4 linked regions of the Macaca fascicularis genome follow. The protein of the gene in region 2 interacts with the protein of the main gene of each other region in a pairwise test. Links are inferred from orthologs where the notes say so. Each region holds a gene or a part of one and is shown on either strand. Other genes may lie near its edges. The genes, in order: RHOJ, WASL, RNF8 and ARPC3.

Evidence for each region.
Region 1: the proteins of WASL (region 2) and RHOJ interact in binary tests that used the Homo sapiens proteins (3 or more experiments, as listed by UniProt). The two-hybrid records come from large-scale screens. The link is inferred for Macaca fascicularis from reciprocal best matches to the Homo sapiens genes WASL and RHOJ.
Region 3: the proteins of WASL (region 2) and RNF8 interact in binary tests that used the Homo sapiens proteins (3 or more experiments, as listed by UniProt). The two-hybrid records come from large-scale screens. The link is inferred for Macaca fascicularis from reciprocal best matches to the Homo sapiens genes WASL and RNF8.
Region 4: the proteins of WASL (region 2) and ARPC3 interact in binary tests that used the Homo sapiens proteins (3 or more experiments, as listed by UniProt). The two-hybrid records come from large-scale screens. The link is inferred for Macaca fascicularis from reciprocal best matches to the Homo sapiens genes WASL and ARPC3.

The regions. Positions count from the first base shown.
Region 1 is NC_088381.1:131,103,529-131,107,575, reverse strand, and holds the end of RHOJ (rho-related GTP-binding protein RhoJ), read right to left. Parts: intron 3,427-4,047; coding exon 3,280-3,426; 3' UTR 1,177-3,279; downstream 1-1,176.
Region 2 is NC_088377.1:165,348,824-165,353,497, forward strand, and holds part of WASL (actin nucleation-promoting factor WASL), read right to left. Parts: intron 2,898-4,674; coding exon 2,811-2,897; intron 2,548-2,810; coding exon 2,451-2,547; intron 837-2,450; coding exon 813-836; intron 1-812. UniProt on the Homo sapiens protein: Regulates actin polymerization by stimulating the actin-nucleating activity of the Arp2/3 complex. Involved in various processes, such as mitosis and cytokinesis, via its role in the regulation of actin polymerization.
Region 3 is NC_088378.1:134,272,821-134,277,494, forward strand, and holds part of RNF8 (E3 ubiquitin-protein ligase RNF8), read right to left. Parts: intron 4,072-4,674; coding exon 3,964-4,071; intron 62-3,963; coding exon 1-61. UniProt on the Homo sapiens protein: E3 ubiquitin-protein ligase that plays a key role in DNA damage signaling via 2 distinct roles: by mediating the 'Lys-63'-linked ubiquitination of histones H2A and H2AX and promoting the recruitment of DNA repair proteins at double-strand breaks (DSBs) sites, and by catalyzing 'Lys-48'-linked ubiquitination to remove target proteins from DNA damage sites.
Region 4 is NC_088385.1:117,321,623-117,326,774, forward strand, and holds the start of ARPC3 (actin-related protein 2/3 complex subunit 3), read right to left. Parts: upstream 3,322-5,152; 5' UTR 3,225-3,321; coding exon 3,219-3,224; intron 1-3,218. UniProt on the Homo sapiens protein: Component of the Arp2/3 complex, a multiprotein complex that mediates actin polymerization upon stimulation by nucleation-promoting factor (NPF).

The sequences.
Region 1 (4,047 bases), on a different chromosome or scaffold from region 2:
ATCTTAGTATGTAGGTAAAATTCTCTAGTGTATTACTAGCTTGATGGATTACTTTATTTTTAGTGGCCTAACTACATGAAGTTATGTGTTTAAAATGTGGCTGGAATCTATAGGATAAACAGTTGCAACTCTAATAACATGGCTACAGAACTCCAGCTTAATATGTGTGATAATGAATACATTGTAGTATTGGGTTGAAGAGGATTGTATGGGAAGCAGAAAAACTGAGATCTGTACAGCACTGCTACAACACACCTCTTTTTACCCATCTAGGTATGAGTTTATCATCGGTACAATAAGGAATTGAACTATAGTTGTTTCTGAGGCCTTGTCTAGCTCCGAAAAGCTAAGATTCTACTTTCAGATGGATATCAGCTGCCACTTCTGGACTTTGGAAGATGGTGTGGACCATTAAAGGATCCTTCTTCAAATTTCTGTGTCTCTTCTTTTTTCTTTTTTGAGATGGAGTCTGGCTCTGTTGCCCAGGCTGGAGTGCAATGGCGTGATATCGGCTCACTGCAACCTCCACCTCCCGGGCTCAAGCAATTCTCCTGCCTCAGCCTCCTGAGTAGCTGGGATTACAGGGTGCCCATCACCATGCCTGGCTAAGTTTTGTATTTTTAGTAGAGATGGGGTTTCACCATTTTGGCCAGGATAGTCTCGATCTCTTGACTTCATGATCCACCTGCCTTTGCCTCCCAAAGTGTTGGGATTACAGGCGTGAGCCGCTGTGCCTGACCTCTATGTCTCTTCTTATCTTTGGTTTCAGAATACAGTTTAATCTTATAGCAGAAAACACTTTTTAGTGAAACAAACTGGATCTTGCCATGAAACAAGGAATAACTGATTAATTTGGCAGAATGACATGAACTTATTTAGGTTGCTTTGTTTTTGATTGTTTTATTCAGTAATTAGCTCCTAAGACCCCTGGGAGCCTGTGCTCCCCCCAGACACTAACCACAGTCTCTATCCAGTTGCTGGTTCTGGGTGACAGAGTGATCTCCCCATCATGATCAGCTTACTTCCTGTGGCCCATTAGGGGAGCGATGACCTGGGGAGCTATTTGCCTGTCGAGTGCGCACACCTGGAAACATACTGCTCTCAATTTTTCATCCATGTCAATGAGAAACGAGTGGCCCGTTAGCAAGATGTAACTATGCAATCATGCAACAAAGCTGCCTAGTAACATTTCATTTATTACAGGACTAAAACTCATTATTGTTTGTAAAGGATGAGTTCATCACCTCTGCAGAGTTATAGTTCATACACAGTTGATTTCCATTTATAAAGGCAGAAAGTCCTTGTTTTCTCTAAATGTCAAGCTTTGACTTAAAACTCCCGTTTTCTAGTCAGTGGAGTGTATGCATATGAAAGAAAATGTTTAGCAATTAGATGGGAGAGAAGGGAAATAGTACTTGAAATGTAGGGTTTTTTTTTTTTTTTTTTTTTTTTTGAGACAGGTTCTTGCTCTGTCACCTAGGCTGGAGTGTAGTGGCATAGTCACAGCTCACTGCAGTCTTACCTTCTGGGCTCAAGTGATCCTTCTGCCTCAGCCTCCTGAGTAGCTAGGACTACAGGTGTGTGTCACTACAACTGGCTAATTTTTAATTTTTTATAGAGACACAGGGTCTCACTACATTACCCAGGCTGGTCTCGAACTCGTGAGTTCAAGTGGTCCACCCACCTCAGCCTCCCTAAGTGCTGGGATCACAGGCGTGAGCCACTGTGCCTGGCTATCACGCAGTTCTTAAGGGCTTACTCCAATAGCAGAAGAGATTAGAAAGGCTGGTTTTTTCCAACAGTGGGAGCTTGAATCTGGAAAGTCTTAAACTAAAATTGTTGTAATTTCATACTACTAAGAAGCACTTTGCTCATGCAATTGAAAAAAATTAAGCTCCTACCTGGATGATTCCAGGGCACTTATAAGCAAGTAAGACTAATTAGAAGCCCTGATAGGCGCTAATGAAAAGGCAGGAAGTAATTTGCTCTGTGATACAAACATTCCTGGAGGTTTGGAATTGTTGTACATGGTTTGGCACAGGATTCCTTACTGCGAGCTTTTGCTTTCCCAGGACCAAAGTCCGTGTTCTATGTCACACATCGTGGAGGGCAGGGGACAAATGGATACAGAGCTTGGTATCCACTGATATGGAATGAGAACTTACATGGGGCGAGCTTAGAAGCCTTTCAGTTGAAGTAAATAGAAAAATTAAGACACTTTCCTTTACCTTTAGGTATTTTTAAACATGTATTTTTATGCTCAGATCTTTCTTTTATAACTGGGTTATAACTGGGGAGAAAAAAGGATCTGGGCATGAGAGAAAGTGAAATCAAGGGAGGAAGAGGCATGCAATGGGGAAAGGGAAGAGCAGGAACGTCCACTTTACTGAATACACAATACTGAAAAGATGGATCCTGCCATATTCTTCCCCCAATCAACTTGGATGAAAAACAGAAATACTATATTCTTAAACACAGTTCATTTTTAGTTTGTCATGGCAATATAATATGGAAAAAAATCAGGCCACTACTAAGCATTTGTAGAGTGCATCTTTGGCAAAAATGTGGACCTGCAACAATTCAGATGGTTTTCTTTCAATCAGGTTCAAAAATCATGGCTCTGTAAATTTCCAAAACTTTTAAGTCTTCTCATGTCTTCTTATAATCAGGCATTCAGAGGTACGTGTTGATTCTAATAGCTTTGGTAGAAACATGCTGAAAATAGAAATGAATATAAAATGCCTTGTCTTTAGGCTAATTTGGTATGGATTTGTAAGGCCTGAGTAAACTGGAAATTAGTACATTTCTTGAAATAATACAAATGAATGTGAGACACATGGGTAGAACAGCAGATTCAGAAAAAAAGGTTAGTATTGTAGTCCCAAGTTTTGTAAAACATCAAGTAAGGCCACCAAGAGAGGAACCAACTTTCTTTTTCCGGTTCCCTGGGGTGATTTCCTATCAGCTTCGCGTTCATGAGCTGGGGATTTGTAAAAGGCCTTTGACTTTGTTTTTGATCTGATCAGCAGCGGCACTGTCTGCAATCCAGGCCCAGCATTCTCAGAGAGTGTGCAGTACGGACGCTTCTGGCTGGCAGGGAGGTTGTGGCAGTGGGCTGACTAGTGTGCTGTGTTGGGAGGGCTCACAGGGTGGAGGGGCAAGCCTCCGTGCAAAGGGAATTCCTTTCTGGTCGTGCCCTCCTTTTTGGCTGGAGCTTGGCCGCAGACATTGGCTGCCATTCTCATGCCTGGGTGGGGTGGAGGCAGGTCCCGGACAACCTCAGATAATTGAGCAGCAGCTGTGACCTTCAGAACAGCGTTTCTTCTTTTTCTTGGGGTGGAAAATGGTGAGGATTGCTTCATCAAAAACCGCTTTGAGACCTTTCTGAGTCAGAGCAGAGCATTCCAAGTAGCACTGCGCTCCGATCTTAAACGCAAAAGAGAGAAAGGCATGAGAGAGAAAAAAGAGAACAGCACAGTGGTATCAGCTCACTGCCCAGACAAGCACTCACTTCTGCCTGTCCTACAAACAGCTTGTGGGGTGGTTTGGATTACGTTTGCCTTTTTTTTTTGTTTTTTTCATTTCAATTTGTATATGTTATTCTATTTTTTTGTATTTTTGTATTTCTTACATTCCTTTATTAGCAATAAATGGTTGTGGATCACTTCTGGAAAGCAGTACATCCTGAAATTGATCCATAGCCATTTATTCCTAAGAATATAAAAAATATAAAGATCTAAAAAACTAGGAGACAATTCAAAACCAATGATATAATTTAAATACGTTTTGTGAAGAACAGGGGTGCATGATCTTGTTTTTCATATCCTCTCATTTGTAGGCAGAATGTGTAAATCATGTATAAGTGAAATGTATCTCCTTTGGTATGATAAAAGGCAAAGTGTCAGCTTGGTTGATAAAGCAGAGAGAAAGGGAGTGGGTGATATGGTTTTATAGGTCATTCTTGATTAAAATGTACCTCTTTTAAGGTACACCTCAACAAGGTAATATCCAACTGGCATTATTATTTAGTTTTAACATTTTATTTAT
Region 2 (4,674 bases):
GGATTTGAGATGTGATTTTAAAAAGCAGCAGCCATTTTCTCTATCATAATAAAGGGTCCTGGAGAATGGTTCTTTACCTTCACAGAGTCAGGGACCTCATTTAAACAGATGAAAGCCATGGATCCTCTCTCTCCAGAGAAAAGAACATATTTAGCACATATTTCAGGGACTTTATGAAGTCTAGGGTAAGAATTTCTACTCCTGGACTTTATCTTTTACTGCTTTTACTCTCTGGTATTTAATATTTTTTAAAAAATGAATTCATAATACTTCAAGTTGTCATTATCAAATTAAAGAGCATTATATGAAGCTAAATTAGTTCTAAATACACCATAACAGTAGGTGTTCATTCTGAAAGGGGCTTCATGTAACACATAACCAGTGTGAAATAATACTTTGAAATAAGAATGAAAGATAAATGTTAAAGTAGGAAATTAACAAATATGCTAGACAAAATTTACTGCCTCTAGGAAAAATGTTAAGGCTAGATTGTATACTCAGTCAACTGTGAATCCAGAATTAAGATATAAGTATTAGTGATCTCCACACTATGTATTCTTTCTTCATGTCAGAAAAATATCGAAGAATATTGTTTCCTAAGTCTCATCTGTCAGTCATTAATGAAAAAGAACACAATAAACCGTATAATTTGATCATAGATACTAAATATTACTTATTAATGTATGGTACATGTTTTCACAAGGATTAAGATGCAATAGATACTAAATATTACTAATGTATGGTACACGTTTCCACAAGGATTAAACTGTCATCTAAAATCTTAAACGATTAATAATTGTCAAAAAGCTTACCATTTGGGGGATCTCGTCTTTTCTCTGTTAGAAAATAAATTAGAAGAATATTATTAAATATATGTAAGACAACATCAACATAAAAAAATTAATTCACTAAACTGTCTTATTCCTAAATTGATGTATGTGTGACTAAGGAAGATTTTTCAGAAGACCCGACATTTAAGCAGAGATCTAAATAAAATAAGGAAGGGAACAATATATTCAAAGGCTCCAAGGAGGGTGCAACATGAAAGAACATCATGAAGGCTGAACTGTAGTGAGCAAAAGGCACAGTGAAAGGAAACAAGTCAGAAGGAAAGAACAGGACTAGATCATGTAGGATTCCGTAGGCCATGGTTAAGGACTATAGATTATATGTGTATATGATAGGAAGCTCTTACAGAATTTTAAATAGAGAAAGTGATATAACCTAATCTACAAGTTTACTCTGGCTACTGTATAGAAAAGTGATAGTAAAAAGGATTGAGTAGCAGCAGGGAGACTAGTCAGAGAGCTAGTGTAGCAGTCCAACCGACAGATCATGGCTGCCTGGATTAGAATGGTAGCAGCAGAAATGGTAAGAAATAGTCAGACAGGACAAGTTTTTGAAGGCAGAGCCAATCTGATAGGACTCTGATAGGATTTATGAGGGACCATGGTGAGCCTGAGGGATAAGATGGAACAAATGCCTTTTGCTGAAACAAGGAAGATTAGTAGAAGAACAGGAACAGGTCTGAGTGGGGCTAGGGTTCGGGATACAGGACATGGATCAAATATTCTGCTCAGACGTGTTAAGTCTAAAGGCTATTGTGTCACTTAACTTGAGTAGACAGAGTCTGAAGCTCAGGGAAGATGTGTCAGTACTGAAGACAAAACTTTGAGAGTCATCAGCATACAGTTTTTAGAACCATAGGACTGGATGAAAGCACATGTTCATTCTCCTGAAACTGATCTGCTTAAGATGATTTTGGAAAGGTTCCCCTTTCCTAGTCACCCTTCTCCACTTTACAAGAGAAAGGCCTGGTACACTGTTGTCGAACAATAGTTCTATACCAATTAATTTAAAGCTTTATACTATCCTGCATTGTTCTGTAATTGTTTTATATGTGTTACACAATAAACAGGTTCCTTATGGGTTTTATAGTATATAGTATTAGGAACAAAATAGAGAGACAAGGCAATGTTTATAGATCTTGTTAGCAACTCTGCTTATTTGCTTCTAAGTTTACCTAAAGTCTTTGTTTACAAAGTATAAAATACTTTTAAAACTTAACAAACAATGCTAACACAAATGCAAAATTAAAAGACAATACATATGACATTTTATCAACAAAAAATGTTATTGGAATGGGTCCTTCAGTAAATCTAAAAAAAACAGTTCTCAAGAAAAATATTATTTTAAGGTAAAGACCACCAAATTTTTTTGTAAATAGTAAATATTTTAGGTAATAAATAGTTTAGGCTTTGAGGACCACATAATCACTGTCATCACTATTGAACTGTGTTGTGGCAAAAAAGTAGCCAAACACAACATGTAAACCAATGAATATAGCTAAGTTTCAGTAAACTTTTATTTACAAAAACAGGAAGTGGCCCACACTTGTCCCATGAGCATTAGTTTGCTGGTCCAATTTAAGTAATTAAAAAAAGGGTTACCAGATTTCCTTTGTCGGCGGCCCAACAGGTCTGTAACTGCTTTTCGGAATTTTTTTGCTTCTTCTTCATTGGCAAAATTAAGAGCAACTTGACAAGTCTGAAATATTTTCATCATAAAGCAGAAACAACAGAATCATGCTTTATATAACAGCTTTATATCATAAAAACAATGAGCAAAAGAAGTATATTTCTAAAGAATGAAAGGTTAATTTTACTAGCAGATAAGACATTATTTCACCTTCAGCAAAAAAAAAAAAAACAGTAAATTGAATTTGATCTTTCAATAAGGCTCTATAAATAATTTGGATTAGAAAAGGCAAGCAATGAAAAAAGATGGTAATAAAGAAAAATATGACTTACATCTCCAGCAAAGGTATGAAAATATCCTCTAGGACTATTATATACAAAGTTATTGTATAGCTCTTGTTCCCACAATAGTTTCCCATCCTAGAAAAAAGTCAAAAATTAAAATAAGAACTACCAAAACATAATCTCTAGGAATAAAACAAAGCAGATGACTCATATTAAGATAACTGTTTATATTAAAAATAACTTTTACATGCACACATGCAACATATTTATAATATATAAATAGTGTCACATAATCTAATCAGTAATTTCTTAAAACTGTAAACACTGGATAACGTGTCTTTCATAAAACCTACATATCAAGTCAGTTTAATTCAGCTAAGATATAATCTCCCTAGCCAACCATTTCCAAATTCAGTTACTTGGTCAAATACATAACCAGAATAATTACTAGGTCATCAATGTTACATAGAAGGAATAGGACACTTTTGTACATGAACTGATTATCAAAGCACAGTTCTACCAGCAATATTTAGACAATGTACTATCAAACACTGCAGGAATACTTTATGATCTTTTCCTCTATTTTATAGATGTGGGAGGGTCAAATATACCTTCCTTGTACTGCTCATTAACCATCTTCAAATTCTTAACTTTTGCAGAGTACCTTTCTAATTACATACTGGTATAAGTAGTATTAATCATGATGCAGAAAGAGACTGATAATTAAAATGTATCAAGGTTAAACTATGGATAAGAGTACCATGATGACTGCCATATCTATTGTCATAGTATAAAAAATAGGTTTAACCTTAATACCAAAGGTGAAGAATCATGAACGTTCAGCAATTGGAAATAAGTGGTTAGAGAAACATAGTCATTGCCCTATTCAGAAATGCAAGGTTCTACCCAGACCACAATTTAAAAATATGTACAATACACTGTTCACCCATGATAACCACTGCAATGGAATTCCTTTCTTCTTAGTGTAGTATGCATAAGCCATTTCTAAACAGTGCTTCTCAACAGTTATGAGAAATATGTCAAAGCACTTGGGGGTTTCTTTCAAATTATGTATGTGTTCCCCACCCTCCAGAATCACTGCCATAGTAAGCCACTGCTAGTGACAGAAGCATGTCATATCTCTCAGCTGTCTTGGAAGCAGACTTTAAGAAGCACTAATTTAGCCTGGGACTGGTGGCTCAGGCCTGTAATCCCAGCACTTTGGGAGCCTGAGGCAGGAGGATCACTTGAGTCCAGGAGTTTGAAACCAGCCTGGGGCAAAACAGCAGAACCCATCTCTACAAAAAAATACAAAAATTAGCCAGGTGTGGTGGCATGTGCCTGTAGTCACAGCTACTCAGGAGGCTGAGGTGGGAAGATTGCTTGAGCCAAGGAGATCAAGGTTGCAGTAAGCTGTGCACTCCAGGCTGGTGACAGAGCAAGAGCAAGACCCTGTCTCAAAACAACAACAACAAAAGATGCACCAATTTACCAAATACCATAACTAAGATCTCATTTAAACTCAGTGAAATACTTCAAAACAGACCAAGATGGTTATCTGATTTTACAAATAAAGCTGAGACCAGGGGTGTAAAAATCTCTTGACTGTTATCTATCAGGTCATATTAGTGCCCAGTAGTTTAGAGGTAGTTTTAGTATTTTGTAATTAAAATCTCATTGCACTTATTGTCACATATAAATATTAACCATAGAGGCTTACTTACAGAAAGGTTTTTTAAAAATAATGGAGACTTCATCTTAGCAAAATGATGTTTTTATGACAACTGTAAGAAATGAATATCTAACAAAGGGTATCCAATCTATAGCAATGTGATTTATGATTGGGAGTGAGGGACATAAAGCTATGAAAATCTGAATATAGTCTATCATGAGAAACAACATAAGGAAAAAT
Region 3 (4,674 bases), on a different chromosome or scaffold from region 2:
GCTTCATCCATTCATTGATACAGTAGGAGCAGAAACTGTGGGCACAGTTCAAGGTGACAGCCTACAACAGGAATGTGAACACACATATCAGAACTTTCATGCTTACTTTCTCAGGATGCTTCTGATCTCAAAGTTAGGTCAGGAGTGAATTTCAAAGGCCAAATGGAAAATCAACCACAATCCCATCTTGAGGGCTTACAAAGAGTATCAGAATCATTCTTGGGGTTGGGCCAGGCGTGATGGCTCATGCCTATAATCCTGGCACTCTGCAAGGCCGAGGTGGGTGGGTCACCTGAGGTCAGGAGTTCGAGACCAGCCTGGACAACATGGTAAAACCTCGTCTCTACTAAAAATATGAAAATTAGCCAGTCATGGTGGTACACACCTCTAATCCCAGCTACTCGGGTGGCTGAGGCACGAGAATTTCTTGAACCCAGGAGGTGGAGGTTGCAGTGAGACAAAAATCACGCCACTGCAGTCTGGCCTGAGTGACAGAGGGAGACTCTGTCTTTTAAAAAAAAAAAAAAAAAAATCGTTCTTAGGGTTGGGAAATTTTAAGCTTTATGTTAGATAATTCTTTTATTTTCTCAAAGTTAAGGGATTTGTCTGTTTCAGTCCACCAACTCAGACCACGCTCCCAGTGTGGGCTGGCCACCTTGCAAACAAAATGTTACTGGATATGAGTAGGACTAATAAGTGTGTGAATGCTTACACCTGTAATCCTAGCACTTGGGGAGCTGAAGAAGGTGGACTGCTTGAGCCAGGAATTCAAGACCAGCCTGAGACATGGTGAAATCCCATCTCTACCAAAAAAAAAAAAAAAATAGCCGGGCATGGTGGCACAGTCTGTAGCCCCAGCTACTCATGAGGCTGGGGTGGGAGGATCACTTCAGCCCGGGAGCTAGAAACTGCAGTGAGCCATGACGGCGTCATTGCACTCTAGCGTGGGCGACAGAGTGAGACACTGCCTGGAAAAAAACTAACAAACAAACAAAAACAAACAATAAATATTATTAGTTTCTGCCAATCTGACGCTTTTGTAAAACAAATTTTTCAAAAAGAAAAACAAATTTGTCTTGCTAATTAACATATGAAAGGGAACACATACTAAATTTTAAGTATAGAGAATTATATGATATCATCTCTAAAACTGAAAAAGTAAAATAATATAGAAGGCAACTAAAAATGCTGGGCAAAAAAAAGAAACTAAAAAGTAAAAATATAATGGGTTTATTGACAATGCCTGAATATCTAAGTAAATGTGCCAATGAAGAGAGAAAGCAAAAGGAAGCCTGTATTTGTGGGGCTCCTCTGAGTAATCCCTCTGGTCAATTTCTGCCAGAGCCCTTTTCACTCTGGAGAATACAAACCTTTCTCTTTGTTACTTTTGTTTATGTACATCTCCTAAGATACAAGGCTCTTGTATCTTATGCTCAAAAGTGCTCATTCCTGCTCTTAGGATAACAGTGCAAAATAACACTGATATTACATATTTTTTAAATGCCAAGTTGAGCACAGAAGCTAGGAAACATTGTGTTTATTACATAAGACAAGCTCTCATAAACAGTACTGAAAACCTATGTGATAAAAATGAAACATCTGAGGCTTACTGTATCCCAGCACTTTGGGAGGCTGAGGTGGGCAGATCACCTGAGGTCAGAGTTCGAGACCAGCCTGGCCAACATGATGAAATCCCATCTCTACTAAAAATATAAAAAAATTAGCCGGGCATGGTGGTGGGTGCCTGTAGTCCCAGCTACTCGGGAGGCTGAGGCAGGATCACTTGAATCCAGGAGGTGGAGGTTGCAGTGAGCCAAGATCATACCACTGCAACCCAGCCTGGGTGACACAGCGAGACTCTGTCTCAAAAATAAACAAATAAATTAAATAAAACATATTTCTGAGACTGATTTTAAGAGGTAACCAGTAAAGTAGATAAGAAGGTATTCTGTAAACAAAACACAGGTCAAGTTGTTTACGTCTTATATGTCTCTGCGGATTGCTCCAGGTTGGCTAACTCATCATTTATTTCAACCCGTTTCTTGTCTTCCTCTTCTAGAGTCCATAAGCCTTGTCAAAACAACACAGAGCTTCTCCAAAGTAGGGAATCAGATGACTAGAAATTATGGGGGAAGTTACGATCTGAAGTCTAAGTGGACCCACAGCAAAAGAAAAAGGTCTCCCTAGGAGAGATTTTTCAAGAGGCTAACAGACCCAACCTCCCTAAAGATCACCTGAGTAAAGAAAGCTGTGCATATATGTGCTTTCCCTTTTTTTTTTTTTTTTTTTTTGAGACGGAGTCTCACTCTGTCACCCACGCTGGAGTGCAGTGGTACGATATCACTTCACTGCAACCTCCGCCCCCTGGGTTCAAGCAATTCTCCTGCCTCAGCCTCCTGAGTAGCTGGGATTACAGGTACACATCACCATGCCCAGCTAATTTTTCTATTATTAATAGAGATGGGGTTTTGCCATGTTGACCAGGCTGATCTTGAACTCTTGACCTCAGGTGATCTGCCCACCTTGGCCTCCCAAAGTGCTCGGATTATAGGCATGAGCCATTGCAACTGGCCTACATTTTTTTTTTCTTTTTTTTTTTCTTTTTTGAGATGGAGTCTCGCTCTGTCGCCCAGGCTGGAGTGCAGAGGCGCGATCTCGGCTCACTGCAAGCTCCACCTCCCAGGTTCATGCCATTCTCCTGCCTCAGCCTTCTTTTTCTTCTGCCTTGCTCTGTTGCCCAGACTGGAGTACAATGGTGTGATCTCGGCTCACTGTAGCCTCCGCCTCCCAGATTGAAGTGATTCTCCTGCCTCAGCCTCCCAACTAGCTGGGACTACATGCACACACCACCACCCCTGGGATTTTTGTATTTTTAGTAGAGATGGGGTTTCACCATGTTGGCCAGTCTGGTCTCGAACTCCTTACCTCAAGTGATCCTCCTGCACTTGGCCTCCCAAAATGCTGGGATTACAGGTGTGAGCCACTGCGCCTGGCCTTCTTTTTAAAGGAGTCTGAAAAGCACTGTCATTTAGTAACTTGAGTTTAACACTTGTGGTCTAAGGTGAACTGGTCATAAATGGCAGAATTTGTTAAATAAATAAATAAGCCAGTGCAAAAATATGATAGGCTAACAAATGGTAGAGGTTTCAAGTTTCCATAAGGAGCCTCAGAGTCCCTGAAATATACTCAACTTGGGCCCTGAACTCCCAAAGTGACCACATTTTAATGGCGTTTACCCCCTCGTTTAAAAGGCTGCACTATAAGCATATTCTCAGCATTGGGCCCATTCAGAGTAAAGAAAAAATAGCTTTTACTGAGCAGCTTTATTCTGATACTTCCAAAATCTAATTTGGCCCTGTTTTCCCCTCAACAACAAAGAGATAAAAGCTTCACTGCAGCTAAAAATGTTAATCATACCAAATAAACATTTAAGAACAGATGAAATGCCACAAAAGGACAGTGAAGGGAAAGAAGATTATAAAAACAAATGAGAAATGGTCATCTCTAGGGGTCACTTTGAAATCAAATAGTTGTAAGTTCCTGGAAGAAAATCTCTTCAGAATGTTCCCCTATAGTAGAAGCAGCCTGTACAGCCCAGGCTCCATTCAGGGTTGGGAGAATAAGAAGGGGTCAGCCAGGTGTGGTGACTCACACCTGTAATCCCAGCACTTTGGGAGGCCGAGGTGGGCAGATCACCTGAGGTCAGGAATTCGAGACCAGCCTGGCCAACATGGCAAAACCCCATGTCTACTAAAAATACTAAAATTTAGCCAGGCGTGGTGGCATGTGCCTGTAATCCCAGCTACTCAGGAGGCTGAGGCACAAGAACTGCTTGAGCCCGGGAAGTGGGGGTTGCAGTGAGCCAAGATCGCAGCACGGCACTCCAGCCTGGGTGACAGAGTAAGACTCTCTCAAAAAAAAAAAAAAAAAAAAAAAAAAAGAAGGGGTGAGCAACTTCATTACCTCAATGAAGTATTCTGAACAAATAATACATTGGAGCTCATTCTCTAGCACATCATTCATGTGGCTGAGAACTTCTTCCTTCTGTGCTTGCACCTTCTCCTTCTCTTCCTGCAAGACACACAATCCTACCTGTCATTCAGATAACCAACAAAAATGCAAAAGGGGACAGGGAGCAGGGTTAATTATTTAGAAGAGGATTCAGTCTTAATGAATGATTCATTCTGGTATAGCAACATTAAGAACACTTTCCCTAAGGGTTATTGTTAATAATTGTTTTCTAATGCAGAGCACTAACCTTCTTTCTTTCCTCTCCCTACTTGCTATGGTGTGAATGTTTGTGCTTCCTCCCAAATTCCCATGTTGACACTTATTTTCAAATGTGATGGTATTAAGAGGTGGGGCCTTTGGGAGGTGACTAGGTCATGAGGGCTCCATGCTCATAAATCGGGTTAGTGGCCTTTATAAAAGGGGCCCAAGGAGAGCTCGTGTGCCCCTTCTACCATGTAGGGACACAGCAAGACTCTATCTATGAAACAGAAGATAGCCCTCACCAGACACCAAATATGCCAGTATCTTGATCTTGGATTTCCCAACCTCCAGTACTGTGAGAAATAAATTTCTGTTGTTTGTAAGCTATGCAGTTTATGGGTCTTTTTTGTAGTAGCCTGAATGGACTAAAACACCACTTTTTCAGTATTTGCATTGCAGTTT
Region 4 (5,152 bases), on a different chromosome or scaffold from region 2:
TCTGGTCAAAGTATTTCCACCACAGAAAGACAAACATCATATAAATCAGGGTACCCAGCCCCCAGCTAAACCAAGACCCAAGCACTATCTTTTCAGCTCTGCCACTTCCTGGCGTTATGCTTTGACCAAGGCATCATTCTTCTTCTCTTAGCTTGTTTCCAAATTTGTAAAATGAGAATATATATATTCCCTTCAGTGGGTAAGTGTGAGTTAAAGGAAGGGAGAAAAAAATCACATTTATGAGAGCATTCTGTATGCTGATTCTTAGTTCTGCTTTTTACAAGATGCCTGGCTTTTTATAAGACAACATGGGTCCCATTCATATATTCATCCATCAAATGATTGCTAAGCACATTCTATGTGCAAGACACTGTGATACAGTAATATACAAAGTAGTACAGTCCTGGTCCTTGAAGAGTAGAGAAGGTAGACAAAAAATAATCACAGGATGGGACGGGCACGGTGGCTCACGCCTGTAATCCAAACACTTTGGGAGGCCGAGGCTGACAGATCACAAGGCCAAAAGATAGAGACCATCCAGACCAACATGGTGAAACCCCATCTCTACTAAAAATACAAAAATTAGCCGGGTGTGGTAGCACATGCCTGTATTCCCAGCTACTTGGGAGGCTGAGGCACGAGAATTACCTGAACACAGGAGGCAGAGGTTGCAGTGAGCCGAGATCGCACCACTGCACTCCAGCCTGGTACAGAGCGAGACTCCATCTCAAACCAACCAACCAACCAACCAACCAACCAACCCAGGGTGAATCCAGGGTGCTCTATGTGCAACTGGAGCCAGTACAGGGCTTTAGAGTCCTTTTTTTTTGGAGACAGAGTCTCCTCTCACCCAGGCTGGAGTACAGTGGCATGATCACAGCTCACTGCAGCCTCAAACTCCTGGCTCCAGGTGATCCTCCCACCTCAGCCTCTTGAGAGGCTGGGAGGAGATGCACTACCACATCCAGTTAATTTATTCTTATTTTTGTAGAGGCAGGGTCTCATTATGTTGCCCAGGTTGGTCTCAAACCCCTGGGCTCAAGCGATCCTCCCATCTTGGCCTCCTAAAGTGTTGGGATTACAGGCATAAGCCACTGTACCCAGCCTAGAGTCCTGGCTTAAAATCTGGTTTTACCATTAGTAGGCAACTTTGTCCAAATTAACTTCTCTGAGGTTCCGTTTCCTCTTCTGTAAAATAGGAATCATGGTACCTACTTCACAGGGTCATTATGAGGATTAGATGGGATAATTTATAAAGTGTGTACCCCAGAGCTCAGGAGTCAAATGGTAATTACGGAATTCATAAAATATGTATTTGTGAGGCTGAATGAGGTGGCTCACGCCTGTAATCCCAACACTCAGGGAGGTCGAGGCAGGAGGACTGCTTGAGCCCAGAAGTTTGAGACCAGCCTGGGCAACATGGTGAGACCCTGTCTCTACTGAAAATAGAAAAACTTAGCTGGGCGTGGCGACGTACACCTGTAGTCCCAGCTGCTCAGGAGGCTGAGGTGGGAGGATCACCTGAGCCAAGTTTGTGTCACTGCACTGCAGTCTCAGAGACGGGGTGTAACCCTGTCTCAAAAAAAAAAAAAAAAAAAAAATCTATCTATCTATATATATCTCTCTATATATGTATTTGCAACTATGGCTTGCTCCTTTTCATCACAAGTATACTTTATCTAAAGTACCCTCTGCCTTCCCTTTCACCAAACTGTCTTGTTACCTATCTAGTTTCTTTTTTTTGGAGTGGGGGGGTCAGAGTCTCACTCTGTGGCCAGGCTGGAGTGCAGTGGCACAGTCTTGGCTCACTGCAACCTCCACCTCCTGGGTTCAAGCGATTCTCCTGCCTCAGCCTCCCAAGTAGCTGGGATTACAGGCACGCGCCACTACGCCCAGCTAATTTTTTTATTTTTAGTAGAGATGGAGTTTCACCATGTTGGCCAGGCTGGTCTTGAACTCCTGACCTCGTGATCCATCCGCCTAGGCCTCCCAAAGTGCTGGGATTACAGGCGTGAGCCACCGCGCCTGGCCATCCATCTAGCTTCTTTATAGCATTTGTCACTACCTGACACTACTGTATGTATCTCCTTTATGTTTACACTTTTATTGTCTCGTCTCCCGATTTGAACGTACACTGTTTAAGATTAGGGATTTGTTGAACTTATTTGCTGCTGTAAATAGAGCCTGGCAGGCAGTAGGTGCTCGGTAACGTTTGTTAAAAATAATGTGTGAGCAGGCTGGGCGCGGTGGCTCATGTCTATAATCCCAACACTTTGGGAGGCCGAGGGGGCGGATCACCTGAGGTCTGGAGTTCCAGCCCAGCCCAGCCAACATGGTGAAACCCCCGTCCCTACTAAAATGCAAAAAATTAGCTGGGTGTGGTGGCGCGCGCCTGTAATCCCAGCTACCCAGGAGGCTGAGGCACGAGGACTGCTTGAACCAAGGTGGCGGAGGTTGTAGTGAGCCGAGATCGCCTCACTGCACTCCAGCCTGGACCACAGAACGAGACTCTCTCAAAAAACAAACAAAAAAAGTGTGAACAATCACACAATAACCGAACCACCTTTTCCCGAATCTGCAAAATGGAGACCATGATGGTGATAAATCTAGCCCACAGACTGCCTGTCAGAAATTAAGTACAACCAGACCGTCATAGATTTTTACTCCCACTCTGATGCACACGAAAAAGGAAATCTTTGGAAGTCAGGCGCCGACCGAGTCTGTGAGGGCCCTATACCCAGGTGGCTCCGGGGTGGCCGCCGCTGCCGGGAAGTGGGTTCTGACAAATGACAAACAGCAGAGGGAGCCTGCCCCCCGGGGCGGAGGAGGAAGTGGGCCTCACAGAAAAAGGAGAAGCTAGACCCTGGACTTGAAATATGAAAAATAAAAAGGGCAACCCTTGGCTTCGCGCTGTAGTGACGCTTTGGGAACCCTGCCGGAGCCGGAAGGAGTAGACGGAGAGAGAGAGAAGAGGGCCTCCTCACACACCCTGGACCCCTGGACCCCGGGCCCACTCCTGCCGCGCCCCCGCCTCCCACGACTGGCACCCGCGGGCTGTCCCAATTCTTCAGCGACCGGTCCCCTCCCCTCGCCTCACTCCTTCTCGGGCTCCCGCTTCCTCTCTGCCTTCCGCCGCCCGCTTCTCTCGGCACACACAAGGTTTCTCCCCGCTTTTCGCAATCCCCGCTGTCTCCCCACACCATGGATCGAACCCTCACCGGCATCTTGGCAGCACCCGGGTTCCAACCCAGAGGAGCAGAATCCAGGTAGAGCAGAACGCTTCCGGTCTGGCAGCCCGGGCGGGGTAGGCGGAAGCGAAACGGAAGGGGCGGGGTGATGACGTGAGCTTCCGGCTTTGTAGTTCCGCCTCTGGTTGCAGCGGCCGCGCGGATCTGAAAGGGGGCGCCAGAGCGCTAGGTAGGGGCCCTCAGAGTGGCGCAGCGTGAGGCGCGCGCAAAATGGAGATGGGTCTTGAGGTTCCAGAATCTTCGATCAATCACCTCTTTTGTGTTTTTTTCAAATTTCACCTTTTCAGGGCCGGGCATAGTGGCTCATGCCTGTAATCCCAGCACTTTGGGAGGCCGAGGCGGGTGGATTACCTGAAGTCAGGAGTCCGAGATCAGCCTGGATGGTGAAATCTCGTCTCTACTAAAAATACAAAAATTAGCTGGGCGTGGTAGCATCCCAGCTACTCGGGAGGCTGAGGCAGAATAATCGCTTGAACCTGGGAGGCGGAGTTTGCGGTGAGCCAAGATCGTGCCGCTGCACTCTAGCTTGGGTGAGAGTGTGACTCTATCTTAAACAAACAAACAAAACACCTTTCCTGTGAAGCCGCCTCTGGTCATTCTGTTTTCAATTCACCCGACTCCAGCCCCATGCCTTATCCTTCTCTCCCGCTTTTTCCCTTAGTTCTTATGATTCTTGTATTTAGTTTACTCTTAGTGCTTGTCTCCCTATCCTTGTAAATGCCAGACAGCACTTCGCCCGTTTTGTCCCCTGGCGCCTGTAACAGTGATGGTATGTAGGAAACATCAGTATTTGAGTAAATGAATGAACCCAATGCACTGCATCTAAAAATAGAGAAACTGAAGGGCACTGGAATCTGAATCGCAGCTTCAATACATACTAGCTCTATAATTTTGAGCAAGTTAACTTGCCTCTGTACTTCAGTTCCTCACCTGAAAATGGTAGTAACAATATTTACCTCATAATTTTGTGACGATGAAATGAATTACATGTAAAATGCTTAGAACTTACATGCTTGGAGCATACCGAAAGCCCAGGAGTTTTTAACCTATTTATTACTAGAAAACTTACGTTAAAAGTCAAGTTCATTGCTACCTGAGAGCCATTTCTTCTGCCAGTTCGCAGCCTGGAATAGAGCCCCATGTTCCCACATCTGATTTCGCATTCAGGTGACTGGGCAAATAGCACCTTTTAGGCAAGGTCTTTTTTGACAAAGAGCCCAAAGTAGCCCCATAGTCACTCTCCATTTCTTTTCTGCTTTCTGTTCTTTCCATCCTCTCTCCGAGGTTCAGTCTCACAGCCCAGCATGACAGCCCCACGTGAGCAAAGCGCTGCCTGCACTGAGTCCCTGTTCTATCCCCAGTACCTGGCATCCATAGAACTTCAGTAAATTTGTGTAAAGAATCATGTCAGCCCTGCCTATGAGACAGTGAAATCCTCGAGGACTGGAATTGTCAGATTCATCTTTGAAACCCTAGTGTCCAGTGGGGAAGGCACTGGAATTGGGTCCTTCACTTTTTCTCCACAGGCACATACCATACTCTCTAGAAGCTAAACCAGGGAGGACCAAGAGGGCAACTGAAAAGCTGCCTCTCCTTTCTTCCCCTCCCATGTGACAATAAAGTTTCTAAGAATTAGCAACCCTGGGAGATCAGACTGTTTCCACAGTCTCTATCCTCTAAGGGCCACAGGAAAGTCCCCAGGAAGCCCAGCATATCCCAATGTTGCCCACTCATCATGCTCCTCCCTGACTGGACCATGGTGTAGACACCCGACCCTTCCCTCTAGCCTGGCCCCCCAGGCATAAGCTACCACTGACACCTACAGGTCCTCACATTTTTTTTTGAGATGGTGTCTCACTGTTGCCCAGGCTGGAGTGCAATGGTGCGATCCTGGCTCACTGCAA